Linked DNA regions of Notamacropus eugenii. The protein of the gene in region 4 purifies or fractionates together with the protein of the main gene of each other region. This does not show direct contact. Links are inferred from orthologs where the notes say so. Each region holds a gene or a part of one and is shown on either strand. Other genes may lie near its edges.

Region 1 (7,843 bases), on a different chromosome or scaffold from region 4:
TGCATTTTAAACTCTTCAATATTCTATGATCTAAGTAGTTTACAAAGCTTCATCCCACCCTATGGACTAGCGAAATAAGATGAAGATTTTCTTTCAAACTCAGACTAAAACACCTTATCCCTTAGGCTATTTCTGGTGCCCTATGGCTAAATATGGTCATAGAGCCATATTTAGAGATGGAAGGAACCTTAGAGGCTCCTTAGTTTAACTCCTACATTTTACAGATAAGAAAACTGAAGTCCAGGAAGGTTGACTTACCCAAGGTCATAAAAGGTAGTTGGGTAAGGATTTGAACCCACATTCCTTGATTTCAAATATCTCACTCAGGCGGTGCATTGTCTCCCTTATATATATGTCTAACACAAATGGAAATTCCCCTCCCTCCGAAAGCCTAGACCTGGGATCTCAGATGAATAGAGCAGGTCTCAAGCTGGAGAGAACCTATGCATTTACTTCCAGCGAGAGAATAAGAATGCCCAACTCAGTGAAAATGTTGTCTGGGGGATGATGAAAAATTCCACTCACAGAGCTCCTGTCCCTTGGGGCAAGTTAGAAATGTCAAGTTAGGCCCAAGGAGAAAGCACCCAAGTCTAATGAAAGGAAACAGTCTCCTGAGTTTCAGCCCCGTGCCTGTGCTCAGACGTTTAAATGCATCCAGGAGCCAGGGAGGAGAGCAGTCTCTCAGCCCTAAGGCCGCAGATCGCCACACCCACTCTCAGAGCTGTCAATGTGCTTGGTCCCTCACACAGGCACAAGATATCAAACAACGTAGCTATGAAGAAGAAATCTGGATCAGTCTAGAAGGATAAGATGTTGAGTTCTGGGAGAGGCTGGGCATGAGAGACACACCTTTCACATAGTTCATGGATGCTCTTAGCTGAAAGGGGATCACAGGCCCTATCTTGGCCAGGAGTGTGACCTATTCCATGTAAATGCAGATACACCTCCTTTCTCAGATTGAGGAACCACATTGAAAACCAAACTAAACACTCATCCTACCCATAGCTCCACTTCAGTAAGTATCATCAAAGATCAGAGATGGAAGGAAACCTAGAAGGAAAAACTAGCTTAACCTCTGAAATTTACAGATGAGGAAAGAGGCCCAGAAGGGTTAAGTTACCCAAGGTCACACAGCTAGTAGGGCCTAGGACTAGAACCTAAGGGCCCCCCGAAATCTCAGGTCAGTGCTCTTTCTACACATTCCTCTCCTACCCCTACCCCCACTACCTCTTGCTCCCTTTCTCTTGGCCTGTGACTTCTGAAACCTCCCTGGTCATTCTCCACCAGAAAATTGCCTCTTAGAGACCAAGAGCCAAATAGAGGGGCAGCCCCTCCTGTGGCATAGCAGGAAAGAGAAGCAGCAGGTTCCGCCCGTCATCCCTAGTCAGGTCTGGTAGACTGGCTGCTTCCTTCTCCTTCTCCCTCTTCCTCCCTGCCCCCTCCCCTGGAGATTTTTTTTTCTCTGTTATTTATGATGAGAGATGGCAGGAAAGAATGACACGTTCACACACTTGGTGGAAGGACCAGGGTGTGTCTCTTCTCTCCTTTCTTTGCAGAACCAAAGCGGCACAAACCTCTTGGGAGTAGTCTGACTTTCTCCACCTGATGTCCCCCCACCCCCCCAAAAAAATCCCTCTCCTCCTCCAGTCTTCCTCGGGGCACCTCTAGCGAGAAGCCTGAGAGGTAAGAAACAATCAGTCTCACCGTCATCACCTGAGGACCCCCTCCCTAGCAAATAAACACAAGACTAGAAGAGATGGCCAATACTAGAATCTTCTATGCCCAGTTTGAGGTGAGAGGCAAGGCATTAATATTGAAGCTACTTCCTCGAACCCCAGTCTCTCCAATCTTCCTGGAAGAGCAGAAGCATTAGCAAGTTTCGTGGCCCCCCCTTTTCTTTCCCTGAAACCAATTTTGACTTGGGGGGGGGGTGTTCATATTCTTCTTCTGCCTTCTGCAGCTTTCTCCCATGCCCAGAAGCAGCCACGCTTGAGATCCCGGCGGTGCCACTCGCACACTGCCCACCGTTCCACGTAGGGGCACAGTTCCAACCATCTAAGTCTCCAACACGCCGCCCTCCCCCACCTTCCCCCCAAAGCAGACGGGGTGCACCCCAGAGCCCAAGTCCTGGTGTAGGAATAAAAGGCAATCGGGCTGCCTGCCCCAAGCCCACTCCCTCCCCGGTCCGAGCAGAGCCCACCCAGTATTGCGTGCAGCACTAGCTGCCGCACTATGCAAAGCGATCGCCAGATCCGGAGCCCATTTCCAGACTCCAGCCTCAATCAGTCGCCCGGCTGAAGCATCTTCCTGCCCTCCCTCCGTCTGCCCCCACCTCCACGGCCACCCTGGTGCCCAGGGGCCACTCTAAGTGTTTTATTTCCTTTGTGTGTGGGCGGGGGGGGGGGCAGGGTAAGGTGTGGGGTGGGGATGGGGGGGGCGAGGATGAAGGGAAGGTGTGCACTACAACTGCAGGGAGGTTGAGGGATGGAAGGGAGTGGGAGAGAATCCAAAGTGGCACCAGACTTAGCCTCCAACCCTGGCAAATAAACCAGCTACTCACCGCTTTGCTCCCCCAGGAAGACCAATTTGAATTTTCTCAATGGGTTCCCAAAATCTCCTCCTGCGGACATGGTGTTGGCTCTGGGGTGTGGGAAAAGGAGGAGAAGGAGTAGGAGCGAGAGGAGGAATAGAGAGGGGAGGACTGTGAAGAGGAGGAAAGGGATGAGGAGGAGGAGGGAAGAGAGGCAGGCTACGATCCAGAAGGGGGAAGGGCTGGATGCAAGCGTCGCCGGCTCTGCAGCTTCCCCCGGTCCCCTGACTCGGGCTGCGCTGCGGAGGAAGGGGTGGAGGAGAATGCGGAGGACGACTCAGGATGCCGCCCGCGCGGGCTGCAGAGCTGGAGGGAGGGCGCGAGGTGTCGGAGCGCCGACCGTCTGAGCACAGGGCTGGGGATGCTGAGGCGGTGTGATCTCGGCGAGCCGGGGGCTGGAGCTTCTCCCCTCCCCACCTCCAGCGCCTGCGCCCTGTCGGCTCTCTCCCATCCTCTCTGATGTCATGCAGGACCGACAAGCCAATGCAGTGCTGCAGGGAGGCTTTGCCTAATGCATCTGAAAGGAGCGGGGGATGGCTGGGGTCACTGTCTCACCAGCCGCCCCTGCTGCCGCCCCTGCTAGAGGAGGCAACGCGCCCTGGACGACGGGGCGAGCAGAGTGCCCTGATCCTTCACCCCTTACCGCCTCGCTCCCACCCTCCCCCTTTGAGCCCAGAAAGGGCTAAGAGAGTGGGACAGAGATATTTATTTCCTACAATGTCAAGCTAAATCTATCTGCATTACTCCAGATCAAAGGGGAAGAAGCCCATGAATTAAACACCAATATACACCACAGCTGAGTCCATCTAGGAGAGAAAATGGAGTGAGAGAGAGAGAGAGAGAGAGAGAGAGAGAGAGAGAGAGAGAGAGAGAGAGAGAGAGAGAGAGAGAGACTGAAGGGGAGAGGTTATTCCTTCCACTCTAGACATCTCCAGCCTCCACCCTTTTCTCCACACAATGCTGAGGAAAGATAAGGTCACTAGTTAGAAGTATGCTGCACAACAGCTCCAAAACCAGAAGCAATTTTTAAAATCTAAATCTCATATAATCACTTGGAAACATGAAAAGTAGGGGATGGAGAGGGAGTGATTGCTAAAAGGTAGATAAATCCAAGAGTACTCAACTCCACCACCTGACGATGTGGCTCACACAAAATTCTACCATCTTTCAGAAAATAATTTGCGTTGGAGTTCTTGAATCTCAGAGTCCAGGGTCTGAGAGCTCCAAAGATGATCTAGTCCTCTTTCTCTTACTGCCAGACAAGAATGTTCCTAACCCTGCCTAGAGAGAAGAAATGGTGTTTGTCTTTCAAGGTCCCCAGTGGAGATTAAAATGGCTTCTTCGATTGTCCGTTCTAGTGACTGATGGGCCATCATTCCCCAGAAGATACTTCCCCCTATGACCTGAATATCTCCTCACCACCCAGTTCTTGGACGTCCTGCTTTCTCTGGAGCATGAAGCTTCCAGCAAAACAATCCAGGTTTGGGCTGACGGAATTAACAAAAGGAAGAGGAGACTCCTCTGGCAGAATTTTCTCCCATCTTAGAGTGCTTGGCCTGTTCTTTCTCAGCGTTCTTTCCAGAATATAACATAGAGATCAGTGAGCTAGAGAAAGGTCATTGAGAACAATCTTTCATCAGCTCACTGTGAGGTACCAAGCAACATCCAAGATGGACTTGAGAACAGTGCCCTGACAAGTGTTGGCTTTGATGAAATAACATTGCCACCCATCTCCCTCCTCCTGAGTCCTGTGCTTAGTGCCTCCTCAAAAGTACACAATGCTTTCAATAGTGTCCCTAGACCCTCTTATTGCCGAAGAAACACTTTTATATTTCAGTGGATCTGTGATGTCATCAATATAGGCATTCCCTCTGTCACAGCAGGTCTCTCACCTTCTGTGCCTTCTCACCTTGATACAGTTCTAGTCCATTTCTCCCAAAGATTCTCCTAAAAGAATTCCCTTAATGTGCTGTAGGTCTTCATGTGTTTTGAACCTGCTTTGTGTTACAGAATTCTTGGGCAGTCTGGTAAAGCATATCCCTTCTCAGAATGAGATGTTTTTAAATGCATAAAATAAAATGCATAGGATTACCAAGAAAACCAATTCTATGGAAATATAGTTATCAAAATGTTTTCAAAAATTAAGTTTGTGGACATTCAGGTTAAGAACTGCTCTAGACTTTTTTTTTTCACATTTCTTGGGTAACAATGGAGAACTGTTCATCTGTTGTATGCCACACATGAACATCCTGCCTTCTTGTCTGATCACACATTTTTCCAATAATATCCCTCATGGCACTTGAACAGAGATTGTCTTTGGAAATAGGTTTCAACCCACTTGCATACACCAAGCAGCTCTCTAGCTCTATAGTGAAATGAAATTTTGATTCTTTGGAGTTCATGCTGGTCCAATATTGGCAATCATGTACTATCGCCAACAGACCGTGTAGTTTGCTTGTTTATTCTATAATGATTGCTCTTTGTGTCAGGAAGCAGCTTGGATTGTTAATAGCTCTGTTCTGTTCATTTTTCACTCACTAAACTTTGTCAGCAATCATTTATTAAGAACCTACTATGTGCCGGAGAGTGTTTTAAGCACTAGACTCATTTAGTTTAAGGCTAATATCCTTTGAATACATTTTGAGAAAGCCCCTCTGATGATCTGAAGCTTGATATCATCTGCAAACAGAAGTGTCTGGAGGAATTCGCTGTCCACATGGAATCCCTCTTCTGTTTGGACATAGAGCTAAGTATTGCCTGTGACAGTGGTGAGAAACTGGTGAGTATACATTTTCCTGTGCTATGCCTCTCTTGACATACAAGAGAGTTAGGGAACAAAGTTATGTCTGTGGTGGCATTTATGAAGGAATCTTTTATGACCATAATATACACATGAGAGATTTTTGGTTGAAGGAAATTCTTTAAGGCTAAGTTTTGCTCTAGTATAGAGCAATTTTTATTGTAACCAACGAACAATAAACGTAGCAGAACCTTGTATATTTTGACCCTTTCTGTCACTTATGCTACTGTAACGTGTTCTCTTGCAGACTACCATTTGTGAAAGGCTGACTGTTCCTCTTGCATATTTTCATCAAGAATAACCTTGATATATGGTCCTCATTCTCATAAACATTTTATAAAGATGAGAAAGTAAGAATATAGGTCAGGAGTTATTGATGTTTTTTCATTCACCTATTTTGGAGAAATAATAATGTCCATGACTTTTATTCCCATTCTTTTGGTATCTTCTCCTCCCTGAGATATCTTATAAAACAATTTCTTATTGCTGTCAAGATTCTATTACTTCCAGCATGAATTTGTTTTGTGTGTACTTCTTCTGGCCTAGTTGATCTTTTCAACTTTATTTTCTAAAGTGCAATTTCAACTTTTTATATATTGTACCAGGCACCAAGATGATAGGGAACAAATATGGTGATTCTCTGTCATTGATGAAAAAGATGGTGTTATAGAAACATTGGCAGATTTCTTCCATTTTCTATTGGTTTAATATTCTCCTAATTTCATCTATCAATGCTGTTGGGATGATGTGGTTCACTTGGGTCTCACATCAGGCTTTCTAATAGAGAATAATTTTCACTTTCATGGCTTTTCTTTGCTTTATGAGGGGGGAAAACATCAATAAAAGATTTGAGAATTATGATACACACCATGACTTGAAAGTTGGAGCAGTATGCTTCCCATCTTCTGTCAAGAAGGTGGTGGACTATAAGTATAGAAAAAGGCATATATTTTTCAGACATTGCCATTGTGTTAATTACTTTTGTTTAATTAAATTTTTGTTACAAGAGATGATTCTAATGGGGGGGGCATGTTGTATGAGGGAGTAATAATTGGGAAGTCACAGTAATGAAAGAAAAAGGAGCATGAGTAAAGTATTTCTTTTTTAAAAGAAGCATAAGGAATGTCATCAAGGAGAAATATCTATAAAAGAAGCCATGCTGGTCATGTTGTTCTAGTTCAGGATAATAGATAGATCATCTGAGTTCTATATTGTACCATCTAAATGTAGAAAGACTTACAGGATGTGTTCAGCATATTGACAGGAATCTCTGAGGAAGGATCATGGAAGAATGTGGATAAGAATTCCACAGGACCAGAAGTCACAGATGTTTTGTGGTCTGTACCACAGATCCAATACCAATACTTCCATCAATGAGATATTTCTATTGAATTATTGAAGAAGGTGTCAATGATTTCATAGGTTATCCTGCTTCTAGAGGAATTATTTTTTTTAAAGAGGAAGACAGATTGACCCAAACGAACACATATGTAATGGTAGAATTTCAGCAACCAGGTGGGAGAACTGTTTAGAGGTAAAGAAGGGGAGAGAACTTTTCAGCAAACCAAAATCACAATACCTACTCTTCAAGTTGATTCTTTATCTTCACTTGCATCAAATACTGTGTTCAGTTCTAGGTACTATTTTAGGATAATAATAAGTTGGAATAAATCCAGGAGAGGATAGATTGATAGACAGATAGGTAGATAGGTGATAGATAGATAGATAGATAGATAGATAGATAGATAGATAGATAGACATAGAGATCTCCTTCCTCTCACTGAGCAATTAAAAAATTAAATATAATACTCTTAGAACAAATGCATAATATATTCCAACAAAAGAAACTCCCACATTATTCATGTCAAAAATGTCTTACCTACATTTTAAGTCCATCACCTCTCTGGCAGGAGACGAATGGCATCTTTCATCTTTAGCCCTTTGAACCTGTGGTTTCTCTTTGCATTGATTAGGGTTCTAAAGTCTTTCACAATTGTTTTTCTCTATAATGTGTGATTATGTTCTATTTATGTTCATTTCTTTCTTCATCATTTTGTACAAGTCGTCCTAGGTTCCTCTGAAACTCTCATCCATCATTTCTTATATTACAGTAGTATCCTAACATATTCATATTTTGCTTAGCCATTCCCCAGTTGATGGGAACCTTCTTATTTTCCAGTTCTTCGCCATGAGAAGGGTTGCTATAAATATCTTTATACATATAAGATCTTTTCTTCTTGCTTTAATTTCCTTAGGGTATAGCCCAGTAGTCACATAGCTAGGTCAAAGGATATGGCCGGCTTAATATCTTTATGGGCATAACTCCAAATTGCTTCCAGAATGGCTGGGTCAATTCACAGCTTCAGTAACAGTGCATCAGTGTGCCTGTCTTCTTGCGGCCCATCCAACATTTGTCATTTTCTTCATGTGTCACCTTTGCCCTCTGATGGGCA
Region 2 (7,092 bases), on a different chromosome or scaffold from region 4:
TGCCCCAGAACTGTAAGTGATGTATGACACTATTTCTATTTTTATAGGAGCTATTAGTTAGCAGTGACCTCAGGCAGTAAGGAGAGGCAGAGAAGTCTGGCTCTGGTGAAGTAGAATGAGTCAGGCAAGGCGCTGGGTCAGTGGTATTTCCTTAGGGAAGGAAGGAGCTCTGACCGGGGAAGCACCTCTCACGTAAGGGGCAGAAAGCTGGGGACAATTTCTGAAAAGGGCAGAGAGGGATGACTTAACAATTTTGTCTACAACCACAAGGTCATACCACTTGTGGATGAGGATGAGCCACAGGGTGCACAAGATACAGTTTCCTGCCTTGTCTCCTCCTTCTACAACCCAGCTTTTATACAAGTGCCAAATAATCTCCCTAATGCATAAGTCTGACTACATCACTTTCTCTTGCTCAAAAACCTTTGATGACTCCCTGTTCCCTGATGTGCCTCCTCCTCTCCCCCATAAAATACCAACTCATTAGCCTGCCCTTCCAGGCCCTCCACAATCTGATTCCAAACTACCTTTCCAGTACAGTCTCATTACTCTCCTTTCAGTTACAAACTCTACACTACGTTTCTTTCCATTGTACATTTGCACAAACTTTTACGCAGGCCCAGATGCCTTCTCTCCTCACAGGCGTGTCTTTGAACGCTGGTCCTTCCTCAAGGTTCAGCTCTTTGACGTCTTCCCTGTTATTTGCCTTCTCCAATTTTCTGGAGCACTTTACCTTTTCCCGATCTCTTCTTTGCTCCTACCACACTCTACTTTGCACATGTGCATATGCACCCCACTAAGTCCTCCTCCAACTTCTAATTCCTTATTACTTGTGTAATTAATTTAACCTTTCTCGGTCTGTTTTCTCATGTGTAAAATAAGGGGGCAGAACTAGTTGGCCTGGAGGTTTAAAAGAACCTAGAATACCTAGGTGCTCTCTCTTAGTCCCATCTCAGAATTCTGACGCTTATCCTGGAATGGAGGTAGCTTTAGGTTCTACATTCTCTGCCAAGAGAGAACAAACTCTAGCAGGTCCTACCAGGCTACAGAAGCTTCTGAGATATACCTACTGATGGTTGTTGCCTGAAAACTAGCTCAGCTGACCCTGGAGAGACTCATCAGGTGGAGTTAGGGTTCTGAAAGTTTGGCTACTAAAGTGTAGAATGATTGCAATCCGTATTAGTGGGGTGAGTACTCACATTGTTTAAATGCTATATAAAGCCTAAATCCTTTAGGTTACCAAAAAATCTGGTAACCTAGCACTAAAGAGCTGGTGCTAGAAAGGACCTTTGAGGTTATGGAGTGAGTAGCAAAGCCAAGACTGAGGCCAGGTCCTGATTCCAAATTCACTGCTTTTTACAAGGCATGTCACCTCTCAGATAACAGTGGCTTGTGTTTCTATCCCTCTTGGAGGTTGTAAACTTCCTCATAACCCAGAGAAAGTAAGACAAGTATAATTATTACTTTAAAGACTTTTATTTATATCTTTTGTTTTTACATCATCTAGATTTCCCTATATTTCTCCTCCTTCCCAGAGAGTCATTCATTAAAGAATTTTTAAAAAGTGAAAAACAAATGCATGAAAATTCATGGTACTATATTTAATGTTCCAAACCTATCGACACCTTCCCTCCCCACCCTCCGAGCAAAAGAGCGGGAAGGTTTCTTCTCGTATCTCCTCTTTTGGGCTGAGCTGCTTCTTTGTAGCTCAGCAATATTCAATTCTATTGAATTCTATTTTGTGGGTATCATTTTTGTTTACCTTGTAGACATTGTGCATATTGTTTCCTTAGCTCTGGTTACTTCACTGTGCATCAGTTCATGTAAATCTTTCCACACTTTTTATTCATCACAAAATGGATATATACTTTGTTTCTAATTCTTTGCTACCCCTAAAAGTGTTACTATTTTGGTGTATGAAATATGAAGTCTTTTAACAGGCAATAATTTCTGTATCAAAACGCAGAGTCGCTTTAGTCACTTTATTTGCACCATTCCAATTTCCTTTTCAGAAAGGTTGCGCTAATTCACGTCTCCATCAACAACGGAATAGTGCTCTTATCTTTACAAACACTCTAAAACAGACAATTCCCATCTTTCCTCACCTTTGTAGGCCAAGTATTACTTCCATCTTAGAGATGAGGAAAATAAGGCCCAGAGAAGTGAGACAAAAAAGTCTAAAAACTGCCTCAAGCAGATTTTGAAGTTTCAGGCATAGAGTACTGGGGGTGGGGTCAGGAAGACCTGAGTTCAAATCCTGCCTTGGACACTTAATAGCTGTGTGATCCTGGGCAAGTCACTCAACTGGTTTGCCTAAGTTTCCTCATTTGTAAAATGGGGATAAGCACTATTTGCTTCAGAGTGGCAAAGCCACATAAACTTTATGGGGACAGAGGGGCCTGGTCACTCCTGGGCAGTAACCCCCAAGGTTTTGTGAGTATCAAATGAGATACTTGTAAAGTGCTTACCACTGCGCCTGCCACACAGTAGGCACTATATAAACGCTAGTTATTATTTTAGGATGAGAATCGTGCCAATTCTCCTTTATCAATCAAAATTTGTTAAGCAGGCAGTGTCCTCAATGCTGTGAAAACAAAGAAAATGAAATAATCTCTCTTCTCTAGGTGCTTTTATGCTAGCAGAGGAAACTCTTATCTAAGTAGTCACACACATATATGCAGTCACAAGCAGTATATATGCGCATGTAAAAAAGAGACCAAATGAGAGGTTACCCAGGGAGGGAGGGTGGCCAGTGCTGGACCTGCATCTTCTGGCCATGGTCCACGGGAGAGGCCACTCTGGCTGAGGCATGGAGCAGGGGAAAGGGAGTTTCAGGCCTGGGTGGTAACAACCCTGAAGCTGGTGGTATGCCCAGACTCATGTCAGGGGCAGAGAGCAGGCCTGGAATTCACAGTTCTAGCCTATTTTCTCTGATTCTGAACTAAGATCCCACCGTCTTTGGCCTCTTTTTTCTAGTTAATTAACAATCACTTATTAATTAATAAGATTTGATAATCCATAAGTTATTAATTAAGTAATTAGTAAAAGAAGCCAGTGGTGCTCTACTAAGCCAAAGACCTGTCCGCGGCGTCTTTTTCTGAGTAATTAACAATCATTAATTAATGAATAAGATCTGATAATCAATAACAACCAGTTATTAATTAATCAGTAAAAGAAGACAGGGGCGCTCTCCCAAGTCAAAGTCCCATCTCCTGCATACAGCAGGCGCTTAATAAAGGTTACCTAGCTGATCCTAAGCCAGGGCTCGCCCCCGCTCACCCGGCACCTTTCCGAAACACTGGGTAGGGGAGAGGGGAAGGAAGTGGAGCCGCAAGCGCTGGGTTCGAGTCCTCCCTCGGTCCAGGGCGGCGGCAGACGGGTCGGCCCCACTCCAGGTTCCGCGGCCTCTCAAACTCTCGGGGTCCGCAAAGAGGGGACACTGCGGCACCTACCTCGTGGGGTGGCCGGGACGCTGCAGGGAGGAGAGGAGCTACAGAGGTGCCTGCTATCGGCGCACGAGGAAGCCCTCCGGCCCTTCCCGCCCGCGGCCACCGCGTCTGGCCTCGGCCCGGAGGTGGGTACTAGCCCGAAGGGAGGAAGAGCAGCGCGCGAAAGGCCTCCTCTCCACGCCTGCGCACCGCGCGAGGGCGGTGCGATGGGCCCGTCACGCATGCGCAGTAACGGAGCAGCCCGTCCTAGAGGCGGTGGCTGCGGCTGCGGCTGCGCAGAGCCCGTCGCAGGGAGTGAGGGGAGCGGGGGAGGCGGGGCGGCGGCGTTAGCGGCAGCGGTGGCGGCGTCCGTTCGCCCAGAGCCGGACGGACCGAGAGAGGAGGGTGGGGGTGGGTGGGTGGGGGAAAGTCAGGCGCCTGCGCAAAAGCGAGTGAGGGCGGGATTGTGCCTGGAGCGCGTGCGCAGAAGTGGGCGAGGGCGGGGCGGTGCCGCAGGCGCGTGCGCAGTGGCGACGAACGGGGCGGGGCGGGAAGCCGGGAGGCTAGGAGGGAGGGCGTGGGGGCGGGGGGGGCGAGGGGCGGAGGGAGGCGTTTCTGTCAGTTCCGGCTGTTTGTTCGGGAAGTGGATCCGCCGGGGCCCGGAGCTGCCGCGGCTCGCCAGGCCCACCCGCCCGCCGCCCGCCGCCCGCCCCCGCCCTGCGGCCCTCCCTCCCTCCCTTCCTCCCTCCCTCCTCTCCGGCCCGCCCGGCCTGGCCCGGCCCGGCCCGCCGCCCGCCATGGCCCGGGACTACGACCATCTCTTCAAGCTGCTCATCATCGGCGACAGCGGTGAGCGAGGGGCCAGGGCGGCGGCCGGGCCCGGACCCCTGGGCGGGAGGGAGGGAGGGCGGTGCCCGGGGGAGGGGACGGTCGGGGGAGGGGCGCGCGGCCGAGCGGGGCCGGGGCGCCGGCCCCCGTGACCCCGTCCGCAGGGGAGGGCAGAGGCCGTGGGAAGCCGTGACCTCGGCCTGGGCTGGGGGGCGGGGCGGGTGACCCCGGGTTGGGGAGCGGTTGCGGAGGCCCGTGACCCCTTTCCGGAGAGGAGGGTGGAAGAGGGCAGGGGTCGTTGGGGCGGCGACCCCGGCCCGGAAAGGGAGGCTGCGGGCAGGGATTGGGGATTGGGGCGCGGTGAGGATCGGGCACGATTTGGGGGGAGCAGGGGGGTGTGTGTGTCTGTCGGGGCTCCAGTGTTGGCGCTGTGGATGGGGAGGGGGGAGGAGAGCCCTGGGGGGTCGTCCCCGACTTGTGACCTTGCTGAAGGCGCTTTTCCCACGCCCTTCCCTCCCTCCCTCCTCGCCCCCCTCCCCCAAAGGAAGCAGGGGAGGTGGGCTGAGCACCACACACCAAGGACCCGAGCGATCATGCAGTCACTCAGGAAACTGAGGCCGGGAGGAGCGATTTGTCCAGTTTGCAAGTGACAAGAGTGGGATTTGAACCCAGGCCCCGGGCTCCAAGTGTAGCCACTTTCCCGGGCACTTGTGCAGAGATGGAGCCCTGCTGGGTTTCTGTTTCAGCGGGGCAGGTTCCTCTGAGGGCTGCAGAGGGGCCCTTCGTGTGGTTCGGGTGGGGAGCCCAAGGGTGAAAAGGGTCACGGGGTGACGGGGTCAGAAGGGCTGAGGAGGGCAGTGTGGCAGGTGTTCGAGGATTAGGAGGAAAGGGGAGGAGGCTTGGGAGCATGGCAGCTCTAGGCGATGGTCAGGGCCCAGTGTGGAAGAGGCTGTCATGTGATTGGTGGCAGAAGCAAGGTTGAAAGTGGAGCATATTGGGTGTTATAAAAAGCTTATGTTGGGGATGGTGCCGGGAGGATGAAAGGATTTAACAAAATTGGTTATAGACTGAGGCAGTAGGGGACAAGGGAGTAAGTCTGTTGTGGGGAGGGAGCCGGGAGAGCAGTGCTACCTGGTTGTTGGGATGGATATGGGCTGGTGCAGTGGTTTGGATAGGTCAAACAGTGGTGAGCTTTTATGGGCACAGTTGGAAAGTGAAAGGCAAGATCTCTTTGAGGTTTAGGGGATTAAAAAGATAGAGGCTGCTGGGGCTGAGGGATCCTTTCCTCGGTTTCTCTTTTTTCCTTCCTGAGTAGAATATAATTATGCTGCCTTTCTTTTGAAGATGAGTGGCCTTTAGAATTTATTTGTATACTCAGTGCACCATATGCCTTTTCAGGGGTTATATTTTAGTTCCAGATGGGGCAAAGGAATGGGGAAAGGCAGAGTTCTACGACTGAAGGTGATTTCCCTTTCCAAAGAATTAGTGTACTCAGTTGTTGTGGTTATGGGCCTTGTTCCTCAGGAGGACATCTGGATTTTGAGTGGAAAGGCTTGTTGTACTTTGAGATCTTAAAATGAAAAGCTGACTCGTAAATCTGATTCCCCCCCCTTTCTAAAGTCCAGGAAGTAGTTTTGACCTTGTTTCCCACAATACTTCTTGACATTGTGTGTGGTGTGTGGTAGGCCTCTTTAGGTCATGATTTATGTAGTTTTGCTCATATAACAGTCTATGAACATTTTCTGGCCAAGGTGTGTGGAAGTGGAAGTAAGAGAAGTTCTGGTCTGGCTTTGTGTGTAGTGACTTGTGTTGTGGGGCCTCTGGTGCTCCTCAGCCCTGAGCATGTTTGGGAGGGGAGGCTGAATGTGAGTAGCCTAACTTCACACATTATTCTGGTCTGAGAGGCCCTAAATTGTCTGCAGAGTTGGGGCTGGGAGCATTAACTGACCAGGGAGCTCATTCCCTCCACACAGACTTAAGCTCTTCATGCCTCAAGTGCAGTACTGCTCCTTTGAGGGTGTCTTAGTTTAGACTCTGAATTAAGAATGCTACATTTGGGATTTACCAGGGCATGGTGGCCACTGACCACTCCCATCCTTCAATTTGCAGTGTAGATTAACTGCTCAAACCACAGGAAAGCATCAACTGCCAAGATGTGTAGTCTCAGAAGCTTGCTCTGCTAATGTCAGTTGTGAGGGCTATGGTCAGTTGGTTTCACACCAGCTGTTGTTGACCTTTTATTTTCTCTGTGGCTAAGGTAAATTGGTACCTTCACTTCCTTCCTTTGGCAGGGAGCTGTTGGATAAATGGTGTTTACTCGAGGCCTTCCTTTGAGGAGTTCAGGAGGAGCTCTCTCTCCCAGTAGAGTGCTTTCCTTCCTAATCGAGTCTCCAGTGTGGTGTCAGGAGTAACGATTAACTCCAGGGGCCTCGGGTTTTGTTCTGCTTGTGGCCTCTGCTTTGGCAGTGTGGGGATCATAAGAAAGCTTGGGATCTGGCCATAGTACTGGGATTTTCTGAGAGTCAGACCCTCCTAGCTTCTGCTGAATGAGCTAGCTAGAGATTGTGGGAGAGGGGAGGAAGCTAACAAGACAGCTGGGCCTTGGGCAGAGCCTATTGGGAGACCCAGCCCAGGAGCCTTGCAAGGGCTGCTCACAGCAGGAAACTTCTCCGAGTCTGGGAGGATCTGAGATTTCAACGAGGAAGTGACCAAGCTCTAGGCTTCAGGCCGAAGGGCTGAGCCACAGGTACTCTGGGTGTAGCATTTGAGAGGTTGTTCTTTTCTTCCTTGATTATGCTGGCTAGCACCCCTTTGGGATGCTGGGTCAGTGTGATAT
Region 3 (7,146 bases), on a different chromosome or scaffold from region 4:
ATGATATGAAACATAGCACACTCTAGTATAATGTATCAACAGGATAACTAGAAACTGAATTTTGGAATTCTAAGACTTAAAAGTAATTCGTCATCACAAAAATAGTACCATGGATTCAGAAAGCTTTTGCTAACAGAGGAGAAGAAAGCAAATGTGCCTTGAGAACCCAAATTGTTCCTGTTAAATTGAAAACAGCTATAGTTTCACCTCAAAATAACACATAACTTAAAATTTTTTTAAGATAAAAAACATGAGCCTACAAAGAAAAATATGATCAATTTAGACTAAGTTGAAGAATTTAAGGCCCTAAAATATGCAGCGTGAATCAAAATAGCATCATCCCCAAAATTCAAATGAAACCTGCTCATATTTTAATAGTAAAAAAGACAGGTACACTTGAGGCTAAAATTTTCCTTGGAGAGACATAAATTAATGGCTTTTTCAAGCAAACTAAATAGCTTTGCATCACACCAAGAGGCAAGCAATGGCATCCTCAGAGTGCACAAGAGGCACTTTACAGTCTACACATCAATATTTACTTGAGTAGGTTATTTTATACTCATACTAAGCCTAAAAATGCTATAAAATGGCAGGATCAGGAACTTCATACATACTAATACCAGGTAACTCACTGGAAAACAAGTCTAAACTTGCTTCCTGTAAATTTATAAGCCAAACATTTTCTCTGTTCACTACATAAGAACAATTTGCACATAAAGGAAGAAAAAACAGTCTGGACTGGTTTCATAGAATGAGGTACAAAAATTTGACAGATACTATTCAACTGATGCTAATCCATTTGGGGGCTACAGAAGTTTTTGTAGGCGAAAATTATATTTCTGAATTTAGTATTAACATGTTTTTTCTATGGCAAACACTAATTTTCCCAACAACTTGACTCTTAAAGATAAAAATGGGAGAAACTGGTTAATGAAGAAATAGGTGATATATAATCCTTCTTATCTCCCAATAAATAACTAGGTATCAATGCTATAAAACTGACATACAACAAATTGCTACAAATAGTAACCTTAAAGACAACCATTACAAAATTAAAACTTTGTAGCCTAATTCAGAGAACTAACCTAGGCAAATACCAAAAGGGAATCTTATTTGTGGAATTATTAATACTTAAGACTTAAGCCACTTAAAATTTCAGCTAAGTATCACTTCTTAAAATTTAAATAACGAGATCATTGACACTCTTCTTCATCCCTTCCTATCCCCTCAAAAAAGACGTTAGTTAGCTGTTAATTTTTTCCCCAACAGAACTTGTACCAAACCATCTCTCCCAAGAATCCTCAACATATTTATAACTGGAAAACACTCTAATAGAAATAACTGATGATTATCCATGGGTTCCTGTGGGTAGGAGAATCAGACACTAGTTGATGTCGGGAGGAGAGAAAGCGAAAAAGAAAGGTGAGAAATTCCAAGTAAATGGATCATGACAAGGCACCAGGCGGCGATGGGAGAAGGGGGGGGGAAGCAATCAAAACTACCCAAAAATCCTAAGTGAGGAAATGGAAAGTCAAGAGAAGAATTCTGAGATGTTTAGCACGTCGCTGCCTAACCCTTCCACGTCCAAGGGCAGTGCCGCCTACAAAAACCCCGACATCACGGCCGATTCCAGGAGATTTTTGCTCCAACCCCCCGGGGAGAGAGCGATCCAAAGACGTTCCAGCCCCCGCCCCATCCTCAGGCACGGACGACTCGATCCTCAGTTCCAAAGGCCAAAGGAGGGCGAGGGAGGAAGGGGCAACGCCCAGATCCCACCCGATCCCGACCAGCCTCCACCTTCCGCGGGTCGCATAAAGGCGCCGGGCTCCCAGGCCCAAGGGGAGGGCCCAGGGAAATAGAGACAGAGAAGAGACCTAGACTCTGGAACTCCGATAAGGGCCGAGAAAGGAGAGACGGGGAAGGACGGGGCAGGGGTCCGAGGAGGACTGAGTGCGGCACTCGGAGGAAGCGGGGGCGCCCGGGCCTGGCAGCCACCCGCACACAGTAGGGCCTCGGAGTCTGCGCCCGAAGGGGAAGGAGTCGGGGAGCGGAGGGCCGAGGCGGAGCTCAGGCCCGGGAGAAGCCGGGAAGGGAGGAGGGAGAGGCGGGGGGCGGGCAGCAGACGCACGGCCGGAGGCCGCGGGGGCAGCAGCAGCGCAGCCGGAGCGGGGGGCACTCACCGCTCTGCTCCCCCAGGAACACCAGCTTGAATTTCCTCAGGGGGTTCCCGAAGTCCCCTCCGGCAGACATGATGGAGCCGGGGCCGCCGCCTCACCCAGCGATCTCCTTAGGCCCCGCGGGCTCCCCGCAGCCCAGACACGTAGGGCGGAGGAGCGGCAGGAAGCGGGGGGGATCCTGCAAAGATGCGGGTGGAGACGGACGGACCGACCAGGAGATGGGGGTGGGGTCGGAGTCGGCCTCGTACGGCTCGACAGGAGCGGCGGTCGGCGCCGCCCTTCCGCACCACAAGCTACCCGAGGGAGAGGAGCAGAGGGACGGACAGCGCCGCAGCCACTCCTCGCCCCCTTTTCCCAGAGAGCCTGGAGATCCGCCGCCGCAGCCGAACCTGCTCAAGTGCGCGAGCCTCTCCGCTGAGGCGCGCGAGCGCGACAGCGTGACGTGCCGCGTGCGTGCGCGAGCACGGGCGGGGCTGGTGGTCGGGAGCGCGCTTGCTCCCCAGTTTCCCAGGTTCGGCGTTGGCTCCCGGGCCAGCCACCTACGCCGACCCTAAGTGGAAAAGTGGGGAGAATGGGACTGGCGAGGAGAAAGGGAGGAGGAGTGGACGGGCGTGGGGAGGGGGCGGGGCGGAGGGCGGAGGGCGGAGGGAAAGGAGGAGCAAGGGAGGAAGAAGCTGACGCCACACCCAGCGGGCCAATAGAAGGTGACCGAGGTGAATTTGCCCAATGACAGCGCGAAAGGAGAGGGCAGAGGACACACGCAGAGCCAGCGGCTCAGCGCCGGCGGGGGCAGAGGCGGCGGCGCGCGCCAGGGCGGCCATGAAGAGTGTGGCGGGAGGGCGGGGCCTGGCCGAGACCGGCGGGAGGTCCGAACGGTTCCAACGGCGGCGGGGGCGTGCCACCTGTGGACACCCCACCTCCAGCCCCGCTGTCTGGGAGTCGGGCCTCGGATTCCTCGCTCGCCTCCTCCGCCCCCCCCCACCGACCCGCCCATCGTCTGCGCCCAGCCCCCGGAAATAATCCTAATAATGCTGCCATTCAGAAGTTTGCCAACCGCCTTAACACGTGCGTTATCTCAGGTGGACTCCAGCCCCGCCGAGAAGCAGGGCTGCAGCGTCCCTTCCCCCGCCGGTTACCGCCAGAGGCCTAGCCAGGGCCTGGCGCCCGGGGCCACGTGCGCCAGGATCTCCCACTCCCCCCTCCCTCCGCTGCATCGCATGTCTACGCTCTGGCCTCGCAAACGTTAGCGTGACGTCAGTATTCGCCGGTATCACTCTACGTATCCCATTCCCCACACCCTTTCCTTTAGAGTAAATCCCTCGCTCCACCGGGTCTCCCTTTCTACTTGGGCTAGCCAGCCCATTCTGGACCGAGATAGCTACTCCATCCTGTCCTCTGGCTGCCCTTCCCCACAGCGCCCCTAAAATCAGTCCCTCTCCCCATGGGACTCCCCCACCCCATCTTCTCACAAGCCTCTCCTGCCTCTCCGTCTCCTAAACGCTGTAGACCCCCAGTGACTATTTCAGTCTCCAGCCACCTCTTCTGGACTCTTGGTACCCCTCCACTGGTCTCCCTACCACCGGTCCCCTCCTCCAGGTTCCCGACAACTGTCCAAATAATCCGTTTGTACGTAATTGTTTGCACGCTGTCTCTGCCTTTACAGACGGAGTTCCCGGAAAGAGGAGACTGCCTTTTAATGCATCCTCAGTGATGGGGTGATGGGACTTGGACCCCTAAAAGGAACAGACCATGCCCTTGGAAGCAACCCAGTCCCTGAATTTTCCGATACGTTTCAGTAGCCCAGATCACTGGTGCCTACACCAAAGCATCTGGCTCACCCAAGCTCAGCGAGATCACTCAGACTACTCCCTAACACCATCCTTGTCCTTTCACCGTCCTTTTTATCCTAACCATCATTCCCCGCCCACCCCCCATTAAGTTGCAGATTCACTAAGAATCTCACCACCACTTTTGGTGTTACAATAAACCTTGCCATTTTGACTAAAAGATGGTGTGAGTGTGTGATTCTTTCCAGGCAGACACCTCTCTGCACCCTGACATTTCAGGGTTCCCAGCAACCCTAAACCGCATCCCCCAGCACCTAGAGCTGTGCCAACAATATAGTTGTCATTGTTTAGTCCTTTCCAATTCATCGTGACCCCATTTGGGGTTTTCTGGGCAAAGATTATAGAGCAGTTTGCCATTTCCTTCTTCAGCTCATTTTATAGATGAGGAAACTGAGGCCAACAGGCTTAAGTGATTTGCGCAGGATGGCACTGCTAGTAAAGATCTGAGGCCTCAAAGATGAGTCTTCCTGACTCCAGGGCCAATGCTCTATCTGTTTCCCCATATAGCTGCCCCACCAAACATCATCACTTTATTTCTCTGTAATATGAGAGGGTCTAGTTCTGACATTCTTTGTTCTAAAGCTGAGGTGTCGAAACACATAGGTCCTAGGCCACAAGCAGCCTATCACAGTTCCATTAAAATGTAATTGGGAAATACTTAGCAAAATACATAAAAATACAACAAAACAGATGCCATTACATTTTAAAACTTAAGTCAATATAGGACACGTAGAAATCCTCATATATGTATGTGTGCCCCCTGTTTCTATTTAAATTGGATATTACTGAAATAAAGGACTTCCCAGCTCTGACATTCTGTGTTCTAAGGTCTCTCCCAGCTCTGACATTCTATGTTCTAAGCCACCTTTCACTTCTGACATTCTCTGTTTTGAAGTCCCTAACAGCTCTCATACTCAGTGTTCTAAGGTCCCTCCCAACTATGGCTAAGGGTCCTTCCAGGTCTGGCATTCTGTGTTATAAGTGTAACAACAGGGCCAAGCCAAGATGGTTGAGTAACGGCACACACTTTCTAGAGTGCTGCTCCCAAGCCCAGCTAAATACCAGTAAACTGACTCTAAACCAATTCTGGAGCTTCGGAGCCCACAGAATGATGGAATGAAGCAAATCTCCAGCCCAAGACAGCCTGGAAGGTGGCTGAGAAGTGTCTATTGCACCACTCTGGGGGCAGGACGCAGTGCAGTGTGGGCCACGCTGGCACAGACAGGACCTGAGCAGGCCTTGGGGAGACTGAGTCTCTCATATCTGTGACAGTTTCCAGACTTCAAGACCCCAAAATGCCAAGGACAAATTGGAAGTTCAGTGGAAAAAGAGAAAGCCTGTAGGACCAGTGTGGGAGAGTGGAATGATCTGGCCCCAGCCCCAGGGCAGCAGAGAGGGAAGGGGGTGGAGGAACTCCCAGCAGTAGGGGCAGAGACAGCAACTGTTTCTGGAGCTCTAGGCCCACTGACTGTGGGGGAATCGAGCTACTGACAGTACACCCCCCACCCCCACTGGAAGCAGAGATCAACCTTGACAAAAAGCTCAAAAGTCAAATAAATGGCTGGGGAAATGGGCAAAAACTGAAAAAAGAATCAGACTATAGAATCTTACTTTGGTGATAAGGAAGACCAAAACATGCAAACAAAAGACAGTAAAGTCAAAACCCCTCCATCCAAAGCCTCCAAGAAAAATATGAATTGGTCTCAGGCCATGGAAGAGCTCAAAAAGAATTTTGAAAATCAAGTAAGAGAAGTAGAACAAAAATTGGGAAGAGAAATGAGAGTGATGCAAGAAAATTATGAAAAACGAGTCAACCACTTGCTTAAGGAGACCCAAAAAAATGCTGATGAAAATAACACTGTAAAAAATAGACCAACCCAAATGAAAAAAGAGATCCAAAAAGCCAATGAAGAGAAGAATGCCCTATAAAGCAGAATTGTCTAGATGGAAAATGAGGTCCAAAAGCTCACTGAAGAAAATAATTCCTTAAAGATTAGAATGGAGCATATGGAAGCTAATGACTATGAAAAAACAAGAAATTATAAAACAAAACCAGAGGAATGAAAAAATAGCAGACAATGTGAAATATCTCATTGGAAAAACAACTGACCTGGAAAATAGATCCAGGACAGACAATTTAAAAATTATGGGACTACCTGAAAGCCATGATCAGAAAAAAAGCCTAGACATCATCTTTCAAGAAATTATCAAGGAAAACTGCCCTGATATTCTAGAACCAGAGGGTAAAATAAACATTGAAAGAATGCACTGATCGTCTCCTGAAAAAGATCCCAAAAGGAAAACTCTTAGGAATACTGTAGACAAATTCCAGAGCTCCCAGGTCAAAGAGAAAATATTGCAAGCAGCTAGAAAGAAACAATTCAAGTGTTGTGGAAATACAATCAGGATAACAAAAGATCTAGCAGCTTCTACATTAAGGGATCAAAGGACTTGGAATATGATATTCCAGAAGTTAAAGGAACTAGGACTAAAACCAAGAATCACCTACCCAGCAAAACTGAGTATAATACTTCAGGGGAAAAAATGGTTTTTCAATAAAATCAAGGACTTTCAAGCATTCTTGATGAAAATACCAGAGCTGAATAGAAAATTTGATTTTCAAACACAAGAATCAAGAGAAGCATGAAAAGGTAAACAGGAAAGGCAAATCATAAGGGACTTACTATAGTTGAACTGGAGAGATAATATTTGTAAGTCTTGAAACTTTTCTCAGTACTAGGGTAATTGGAGGAATTATATACATATAGACAGAGGGTACAGGTTAAGTTGAATAGGAAGGGATGATATCTAAAAAAATAAAATTAAGGTATGAGAGGAATATATTGGGAGGAGAAAGGGAAAAATAGAATGAGGCAAATTATCTCTCACATAAAAGAAGCAAGAAAAAGCTTTTTCAATGGAAGGGAAGAGAAGGGAGGTGAGAGGGGAAAAAGTGAACCTTATTCTCATCACATTTGACTTAAGGAGGGAGTAACATGCATACTCAATTTGCTATGAAAATCTATCTTATATTACAGGAAAGAAGGGGATAAGCAGGGGTGTAGGAGGGTGGGGGAATGATAGAAGGAAGGGCAAATGGAAGGAGGGCTTAATTAGAAGTA
Region 4 (7,972 bases):
CTGCTAAAAAGCAGAAGGCTCCAGGGCCAGTCTTATTCTGCTAGTCACTGTGTGATTTCCAGGCCTTAGTTTCCTAATTTATAACTCCTCCCCTTCCCCACTACCATGGGAGGTAGTCTACTCAACACTGCAGTGAGTCCTAATGTTGGGCACAGCTGACCTGACTAGGGATCAAAGGAGAGAGTGCCTTACAAACACCTAGTACTTCTATGACAAACTGAGTCCCTGCCTTGAACCTTATATATGCTGGGTCAGGGACCTGTATTGATAATTAAATCAACTCTAACCCTATCTCTCTCTTCCCCTCTTTCATCACGACCTCTGGAACCCTCAATTCCACTGTTAACAAACTATTAGACCTCTGTCCCCCCTCCCCGGAATTACTTGGTCATTTCTGTTTCTGTCTAGGGCACCCCTATCCTCTTCAAAGTCTTCAAAGACACTATGATCTCCAATTCTCACTCTTCATTACCTCACAAAGCCAATCACTGGCCTAAACTTGCTGTTTCTAGCCCTATAACCCTCTCACGTCTAGGCCCTCATCACCTCATCTAGATGATAGCCTCCTACTCAGTCTCTTGGCCAAGATAATCTTAATTAAGCAAGGTCTGACCATATCATTCCCCTGCCGAACTGCAATGGCTTCCCCGTTGCCTCTAGAATACAAGTTTGGCTTTCAAGTCCTATATGGCTTGGCCCCAGTTTACCTCATCAATCAACTAACAATGCTGAGAACTCCAAACTGGTCTCCTCACGGCCATCTTTTGTATCCTTGTGCCTTTACACACATATAACCTTTCCTGATCCCTCCCAAATTCTAAGGGCTAGCCTTCTGCCCTAAATTCCCTTGTATTTATTCTGTATACAGTGTGCTTCTGATACTGCTGGCTTAACGGCCCAGGAAAGCATTCACATCTAAACCTGAGTTGTGTCAATGGGCAAGCTCTGCCTATGACTCCCTAATATGCCCCTGGCTTCTCCCCAGTGTCCTGGACAATTCACTTTCCCCACCAGTATCATGAAACCAGTCTCAGAGGTGTGACGCTCTCTCCTTCAGTCCTGATAACTGGAATAAAAAACGATGGTGACACTCACTGGAGGCCAAGGCCTCAGTCTCAGTAGATGGCACCTTGTAGATCTTGCCCCCCTTGTAGACAAAGCTGCCTTCCACCACTTTGAAGTCTAGGTAACGAGTCACTTCGGTGTACAGCAACATCTTCACCAACTGGCCTGTGGGTAGTATGGGGAGAGGAAGAGAGACATCTCCATATGTATAACCCTTTCCCATTCACTTGATGGTCCTCAAGCCCTTTCCCCAAATTCTGCCCCCCCCCCCCCCCACATCCTACCTATATCACCTACCACCAGCTATATCCTCCCACTCACCATTGGCCATGAGGAATTTGGGGATCAAGTCAACATTCCAGTCTCGACCCCTGCCCAAGCTTTCAGGAGGTCCTTCAGGCAGGTCAAACCGTTTGAACAGCTACAAGCAGGGAGAGACAGAGAAGAGGAAAAGGGAGGATTCAATCAATGTTGACCTCACCTCCAAAACCTGCCTGTAGAGACTTCCAAGAGCTGATCAGGCGTGGAAGTCAGACTATAAAGGACAATGGAGCCTGGGAAAAATGGAGCAGGTCACCTCACCTCTTCCAGGGGTGTGATAGAGGAGCTTTCACCCCCATAGTAAGGATTGCGATCCATGTGCAACACTTTCTTCCCGTTCACAGACATGATGCCAGAGAGAATACATTCCTGGAGGGGAAGACCGGCAAGGAAGACAGGAAAAAGAATGTGAATAGACCCTCTCCCCAAACCAGAATAGAAATCTCAGCAGATTCCTTTACCTTAAGACTGAAGGGGAGGAGAGGCGGAAGAGAGCCCCTCCCCTTCTCCCAACCAGACACACAAAAGGTTGGAGAGGTAGGTTTCCATCCTTCTGCTAAACTCTTCATGGCGCAGCTATTAAGGGGAAGGCCATTTGGGCTCCAAAGTGAAGGCAAGCAGTGGAGAAACAACTCCCCCTTTTCCTGACCCTGACATCCTATTCCAGGAAGCAATAAGAATGTCGACAAACACAGCTACACAGAGCACAGGTGCAATTGGAAGCAGAGAAACGCCGTATCGCAAGGGCCCTACCCTAGGCCTTCTCTTCCTGGTCTTGAGGCACACGGAGAACTCCATTTCTCCCACTCTCAAGTAATCTCCCACAAGATCAGCGCATCTTTATGTGGTAGGGACACAGCAACCCTGCCCATGCCTTCAGGCCACCATCTTGTATGTGACTAGATCTAGAGCTGGGAGGTACTAATTTTACAGATGGGGAAAATACCGAAGAAGGAGGAAAATAATGAATAGAAGGCCGAGGAAAATGACTAACCAGGGTCACACAACTATTACACGTCAGATGCGTTTATCCATTACAGGGTTAATGAGCACACCATGCCTGTCCTGTCTCTCACCCCCACCCAGAGGAAGGGAAAGGATTATTTCAGTCCCCTATCCTGTGGTTAGGATACTACCGTCCAGAGGGTTTGATATACCCTTATCATCTTGGGGATTGTGGTGATGGGGTATGGATACTCTGTGGTCCTGTGGGTAGGGCTCCAAGAAAACGGGGAGGACTATCTGTGAATCTTAGGGTTGGCGTTAAAGAGGGTAGCCCTGATTGGGAGGAGACTGAAAGGAAGGCATATTGGGATCCCACGCCACTGGGGCCACACACAGAGGGGAAGAAAGGTCATGATGGGGATGGGTTGAAAAGGTGGGGGGAGGGGAAGAAGGGGGGAACCTTTTAGGTTGGGGGGGCGGGGTGCTGCATTCTCGTCGGGGTTCCTGTCGGTCCCTACTCACCGTGAGGCCCGTGCCCAGCACGATCACGTCGTACTCCTCGTCCATGGTTCTGCTCGAAGGCCTCGGCTGGTCTCCGCTTTCCGGCTTCGCCGACGCCGCTGCTGCCGCTGCTGCTGCTGCTGCCACCGCCGCCGCTGAAATGGACCAAAGATGGCGGACTCAGCACCGCCTTTCCTCCAGCTCCCTCCGCTGTGCCAAAGAGTCCCGACTCTTCCGCGCTGCCGACGCCGCCCTGTCACCCCGTGGACCACGCCCGACTACGAACGTGGCCGAGAGACTTGCAGAATGCTGGGGCAAGGGGCTACGATGTGCCTGCCTCGACTGTGGGAATTCCTTCATTGAGAGGGAGGGGGAGGGGAGGGACAGAGGCCCGTGAGGAGACCAAGAGAGGGATCCATCCGCACCCCTTCCCGCATCTTCTGCCCGCATCTTCCTACCCACGGAGATGCTGTGGGGAGGGGCTGTCCCCAGGAGGGAGAACCCGAGAGAAGGAACTGCGCTGGGGAGGGGGGGAGGGGGGGAGATGAAAATGAGGGAACGCCTCGGGGGAGAAGACCCCGCCTCTAACAGGCTGTCAAGAGTAGGGTCAAGGAAAGCGCCCTTGTCCCCATCACAGCATGCAGATGGGGGGCGCGAATCTCTTGGGGGCGCAGGTGCCAGGCGGGGGAGGGGAGGCTGCTCCAGGCCTGGGTGGGGCATATTCACAGAAGCCTCAGTCTTCTGCAGGAGAGGTTATAGCCGCTATCTCCAGCACCCCGCACCCTCCTCCCATGACTCAGCTTTGTCTTTTCCCATCCTGTCCCCTCAAATCCCTAAGGGGCAAATCTAGGCTGCAGACCTACCAGCCAAAGGGAGCTTTGAAGGGCCAAGAAATTCTCCTTTCAGCCTCCCTAACACCCCCAATCTTCATGCCCAAACCCCATCAATGAACTATTTGCCCTGCCTCTCTTCCCAGGAATGGGAGAGGTGGCACAGGTTCTCTATCTTTGCATCTGGAATCCTCGGAATCATGGTTTGAAATGCACAAAATATTACAAAAGAAACCCATTATAGCTAATAAATATAATTGTTTTTATCCCATCCAATTTTAAAAGGCTTCCAGAATTGTATCAATGACCCCAGGTGAAGAACCCTTGTTTTGCCTCCACTCCTGTAACCTGTGGGCAACTAAGTGGTGCAATGGATAGAGCACTGAGCTTGGAAACAGAAATATATCTTCCTGATGTCAAATCCAGTCTCAGATACTGGTGGTGTGACCCTGGGCAAGTCACTGTTTGCTTCAGTTCTTCATCTATACAATGAGCTGGAGAAGGAAATGGCAAACCAATCCAATATCTTTGCCAAGAAAACCCCAAATGGGATGGTGAAAAGTCAGACACTGAACAACAAGGGATAACACACTGGTGACTTCCTCAGCAATGCCTAGGCCAAATGATCTGTCCTCTTGAAGCAAAGCTGTCATGGAGGCTTAGTTAACATGTTATTTCAATTTCTTTTCACATCCAATTTTAGCCCCACCAAAAAACTAGAAGACAAAATAATCAAGTTTCAAGCCCACACCCTCTCCCCACCATGAGTTCCCTTCTTTGTTTGTCCTTCGTTCTCAAAGGGGACCATGACATCAGGAAGGTGATGTCATGACTTGGATTTAAGTGTGGGAGGGCTGTACAAAGTCACTAGCCTCAATCTCCTCCATAGCCATCTGGGTAGAGTGGCAAGGTATAAATCAGGGCTGGAGACACAGTGGGAGACTTTGGCCTTTTGAAGCTAAGGCCTTTCCCAGGTCGAAGTTTGACTGAGGTAACACTCATTTAGTGATTAAGGCTAGGTAACAAATGAGGCCAAGAATGGCCTCTTTCACTTAGTCAAAACCAAACCAAACCAAAAATCACTCAGGGAAGGGAAGAGCTTCACGGTTTCTGGCCAAAACAGAAACAATTACTATATACACTGCATCAAAGCCCAATGACCAAAAGAGGCTTGGGCTGGGACCTATTGTTGGCCAATTAATGAGAACCAAAGTGATTTGGGTTTAAGGTATGGTCCATAAAAAAAGAAATCTAGCCCACAAACCCCAAGGTATCTTGCTAGTTTCAGCTATCAAAATTTATATTCCTTTGGGCAGAGTACCTGCAGAAAAGGCTGATACCCTATGTGGATAGAGGGAGAGGAGGAAGAAATCCACACATAACCACTGGTGAACTCCCTGATCTCTGTCCTTTTAAAGCAAAGCCCTGCTTAATACAAAATGACCACACTGTCTTGGAGGCTTAGTTAAAATTTTATTTCAATTTCTTATCACATCCAACTTTAGCATCACCAAAAAAGAAAAAGACAAAACAAGAAGCAAACAAGACAATGTAACAAGTCTCAAGTTCACACCCCCACCCCACTTGGAGTTACCTTCCAACCTCCGGACTACATTTTGACTAATCCCCAGAATACATCTCACACAATGAAGCAGCTAGACCTGAGGGCAGGGATTTAGGGAGAATAAATAAGGATTGGAAGCCAGCAGGAAGGAAAGTGGCCTGGATACTCCTTCCCCACCCCCCCACCCCCTCCATTGGTGCACTGCCTACAAGGTTTTCACTGAGGGTATTTGTCAGAGGCAGACACTTTTTTGTTTCCACGGACAGGGTAGGGTAACCACAGGTTCTGGGATAATTGGGGGTGGAGCAAGAGGAAATAGGGGTAGGGAGGCCTAGCTACTAAGGAAGCACAAATGAGTAGTAGCCTGGCAGCCCTTCCAAGGGGAGGAGGCAAAGTCAACACAAAACTCCACCTCCAACCCTTCTGGCCCCCCCATGTGACTAAAGGGGTCACTCCATCAGGGGCACAGAGAGAGTGCTCCCCTTGTGATCATCAAAGCGATCCATGGTCTTGAGGTTGAGGATCATGTGCAGACCGTAGGTGAAGATGAAAAGCATGATGAGAGAGGAGACTAGCCCCATCCAGATGCCAGGGGAGAAGAAGCTGGCACAGTCACTGGCATAGGAGAAGTTTCCACCAGATAAGTTAAAGGCCTGAATCTGAAAAGGAAGAAAGAAAATTAAGACAAGAAACCAAACACTGGTTTGGTCTGGTCTATGAAATCCAAAAGGAATTGTGCAGGGGAAATCGCCCTCTCCTCTCCTATCCCACCCACCAGAGCCAGGGTCCAGCAGAATGTTTCTGGAGTAGGTAGGAAGGTGGGTAGACCCAAGAACTGGAGAGGTTTTTAATATCCCTGAGTATCTTAATTAGGCTATTTGATGGATAGTCAGGAAGAAACGTATGAACACTCCTTGCTCAGCTAAATTCTGTCCCACTGTGGCCATCATTTACCAATCTGTCTCTCTTTGAGGTTCTCCATGAAGCTACACCACCCTAACTCTATACCTCCCTCTTCTTTCCTAGAGTTCAGCCTTCCTCTCCACCCTAAACTCTGATTTTATAAGCTTAAAGTCTTCATGCGACATTAGCTTCCGTGATAACTTGTACTACACACACACCTCTCTCTCTCATTCCTAAATGTTCTATTTAATGATCTAGGACTCAAATTCCTCTCAGCCTACAAGCTCCTCTTCTTGTACCTTACTTACAACCCCTCCCTTTATCTAGCCTTCATCTTCAACTTGATTTCAGGGCATTCCATTTCTTCCGGCTTTCTCACCGCATCACCATCTACCTCTGTTCTGGTCTCACCTTCTTCCCTCATTTATTCAATTTAACTGTGTTCCTCTCTGCCCTCAAATCTCTTACCCCTTCCTTGTCCTATCACTATCATGACTTTCCAAATTCCAACCCTAGATTAATCTCACTCTTCCATCCCACCCCCATCTACTCTCTCCAATCCTAACAGGGCTGAGTTTACTTCAGTTTCACGTTCTTGAATTTCAGTTGAGTTCTCCCTACCAAACAGCACTCCTTTGATTCTCCCTAAACTGACTCACTTCCACCATTTTCTCCATCTTTCATCCCTTAGCAGAGCACCTCATGCATCATTTTTAAAGTGAAAATCGATGCCATCCATTGTGAACTTCCTTATACTCCTTAATTCCACACATACTCAAATCCCCTCATCACCCTCCCTAATCTCCCTCCCCTTGGCCCAGTCTGTGATGAAAACACGGCCCTTCTCACCAAAGCCAATCCTTCTATTTGTGCCCTTGATTCCTTCCCCTCTGGGGGCTTTCTTCAACTGGGAATGTTAGTAATTCCTCCCTCACCGAAACAGAACATGTACTCCCCACCTCCTGTGCTCCTTTCATCCTACCTGGAAATTCTGGAAAGTCACATGCCAGGCAGAGGAACCAGGTGAAGATATTAGGAGACCTGCTTTTGAACGTTCAGTGCTAACATACTGGCAGTGAAAGGAATAGATGCTAGGTGCTGTGACATGTGAGGAATTGAAGACCACAACCGAGTTGTTGTTGTGGATCTCTAGTCGATCCATGATGAACCAGCTTCGGGCTGAAACAGGGTAGAAATGGCTGCTCAGAATAAACCTGGGAGAGAAAGTCAGATGATCAGTGGAAACTCCAAAGACTGCCCAAAGCTTTCTTCACCAACCCCTTTAACCTCCTCCCCACCCCCCTGCCACCCCAGCACTTACTTGATTGTCAGAAGTGGGCCAAAGAGGTTTTCATATGTCAGCGCAAGCCTAGGAAAACAGAGGAAAGAAAGGGCTGCTCAGCTTTACCATCCTTGGTTGTCAAAGGGAATCTCTACCACATAGACTATTCCCAAAGTGCTCAGTGCCACTGAGATTGAAGGTTTCCTATGGTTCTCAATGTGTAGGCAAGAATTTAATCAAGCTCACTCACACACACAAGCTGAGAATGGAGCTGAAGCTTGGACCCAGGCTTCAAAACTCCCAAGTCATAGTTCTAACTCCCACTGGCCCCACCCTCTTGTTCAAAGAATATGTGTGAAGACAGTGGCCACTTAGGGCCTAGAAGAGGAGTCCCCAATAAAGCCCTTAAAAAAGGGAACAATGATAAAAGAAAATACACAAAAATCTATATACTCCCTCCATCCAGGATAGATTGAAAGCACAGCATATAAATAAGTAGCGTGGACCAAGAGAAGAAAGAGCGGGGCTATCTGGGAAGCAAAGCACCAGGTATCAAGCAGG

The links.
Region 1: the proteins of GDI1 (region 4) and RAB6B purify together in Homo sapiens (co-immunoprecipitation; 3 studies listed by BioGRID and IntAct, counting the BioPlex papers as one, with this or other methods). This does not show direct contact. The link is inferred for Notamacropus eugenii from reciprocal best matches to the Homo sapiens genes GDI1 and RAB6B.
Region 2: the proteins of GDI1 (region 4) and RAB35 purify together in Homo sapiens (affinity purification with mass spectrometry; 3 studies listed by BioGRID and IntAct, counting the BioPlex papers as one, with this or other methods). This does not show direct contact. The link is inferred for Notamacropus eugenii from reciprocal best matches to the Homo sapiens genes GDI1 and RAB35.
Region 3: the proteins of GDI1 (region 4) and RAB6A purify together in Homo sapiens (affinity purification with mass spectrometry; 3 studies listed by BioGRID and IntAct, counting the BioPlex papers as one, with this or other methods). This does not show direct contact. The link is inferred for Notamacropus eugenii from reciprocal best matches to the Homo sapiens genes GDI1 and RAB6A.

Annotation. Positions count from the first base shown.
Region 1 is NC_092876.1:334,782,279-334,790,121, reverse strand, and holds the start of RAB6B (ras-related protein Rab-6B), read right to left. Parts: upstream 3,007-7,843; 5' UTR 2,631-3,006; coding exon 2,561-2,630; intron 1-2,560. UniProt on the Homo sapiens protein: The small GTPases Rab are key regulators of intracellular membrane trafficking, from the formation of transport vesicles to their fusion with membranes. Rabs cycle between active GTP-bound and inactive GDP-bound states.
Region 2 is NC_092875.1:25,154,782-25,161,873, forward strand, and holds the start of RAB35 (ras-related protein Rab-35), read left to right. Parts: upstream 1-4,090; 5' UTR 4,091-4,225; coding exon 4,226-4,277; intron 4,278-7,092. UniProt on the Homo sapiens protein: The small GTPases Rab are key regulators of intracellular membrane trafficking, from the formation of transport vesicles to their fusion with membranes.
Region 3 is NC_092876.1:131,569,940-131,577,085, reverse strand, and holds the start of RAB6A (ras-related protein Rab-6A), read right to left. Parts: upstream 2,882-7,146; 5' UTR 2,696-2,881; coding exon of another isoform or gene 2,251-2,695; coding exon 2,181-2,250; intron 1-2,180. Other genes in the region: uncharacterized protein, read left to right, coding at 2,249-2,695, 2,882-3,424. UniProt on the Homo sapiens protein: The small GTPases Rab are key regulators of intracellular membrane trafficking, from the formation of transport vesicles to their fusion with membranes.
Region 4 is NC_092879.1:9,968,945-9,976,916, reverse strand, and holds the start of GDI1 (rab GDP dissociation inhibitor alpha), read right to left. Parts: upstream 3,002-7,972; 5' UTR 2,899-3,001; coding exon 2,854-2,898; intron 1,756-2,853; coding exon 1,648-1,755; intron 1,487-1,647; coding exon 1,387-1,486; intron 1,231-1,386; coding exon 1,096-1,230; intron 1-1,095. Other genes in the region: ATP6AP1 (V-type proton ATPase subunit S1), read right to left, coding at 5,676-5,885, 7,112-7,343, 7,451-7,498. UniProt on the Homo sapiens protein: Regulates the GDP/GTP exchange reaction of most Rab proteins by inhibiting the dissociation of GDP from them, and the subsequent binding of GTP to them. Promotes the dissociation of GDP-bound Rab proteins from the membrane and inhibits their activation.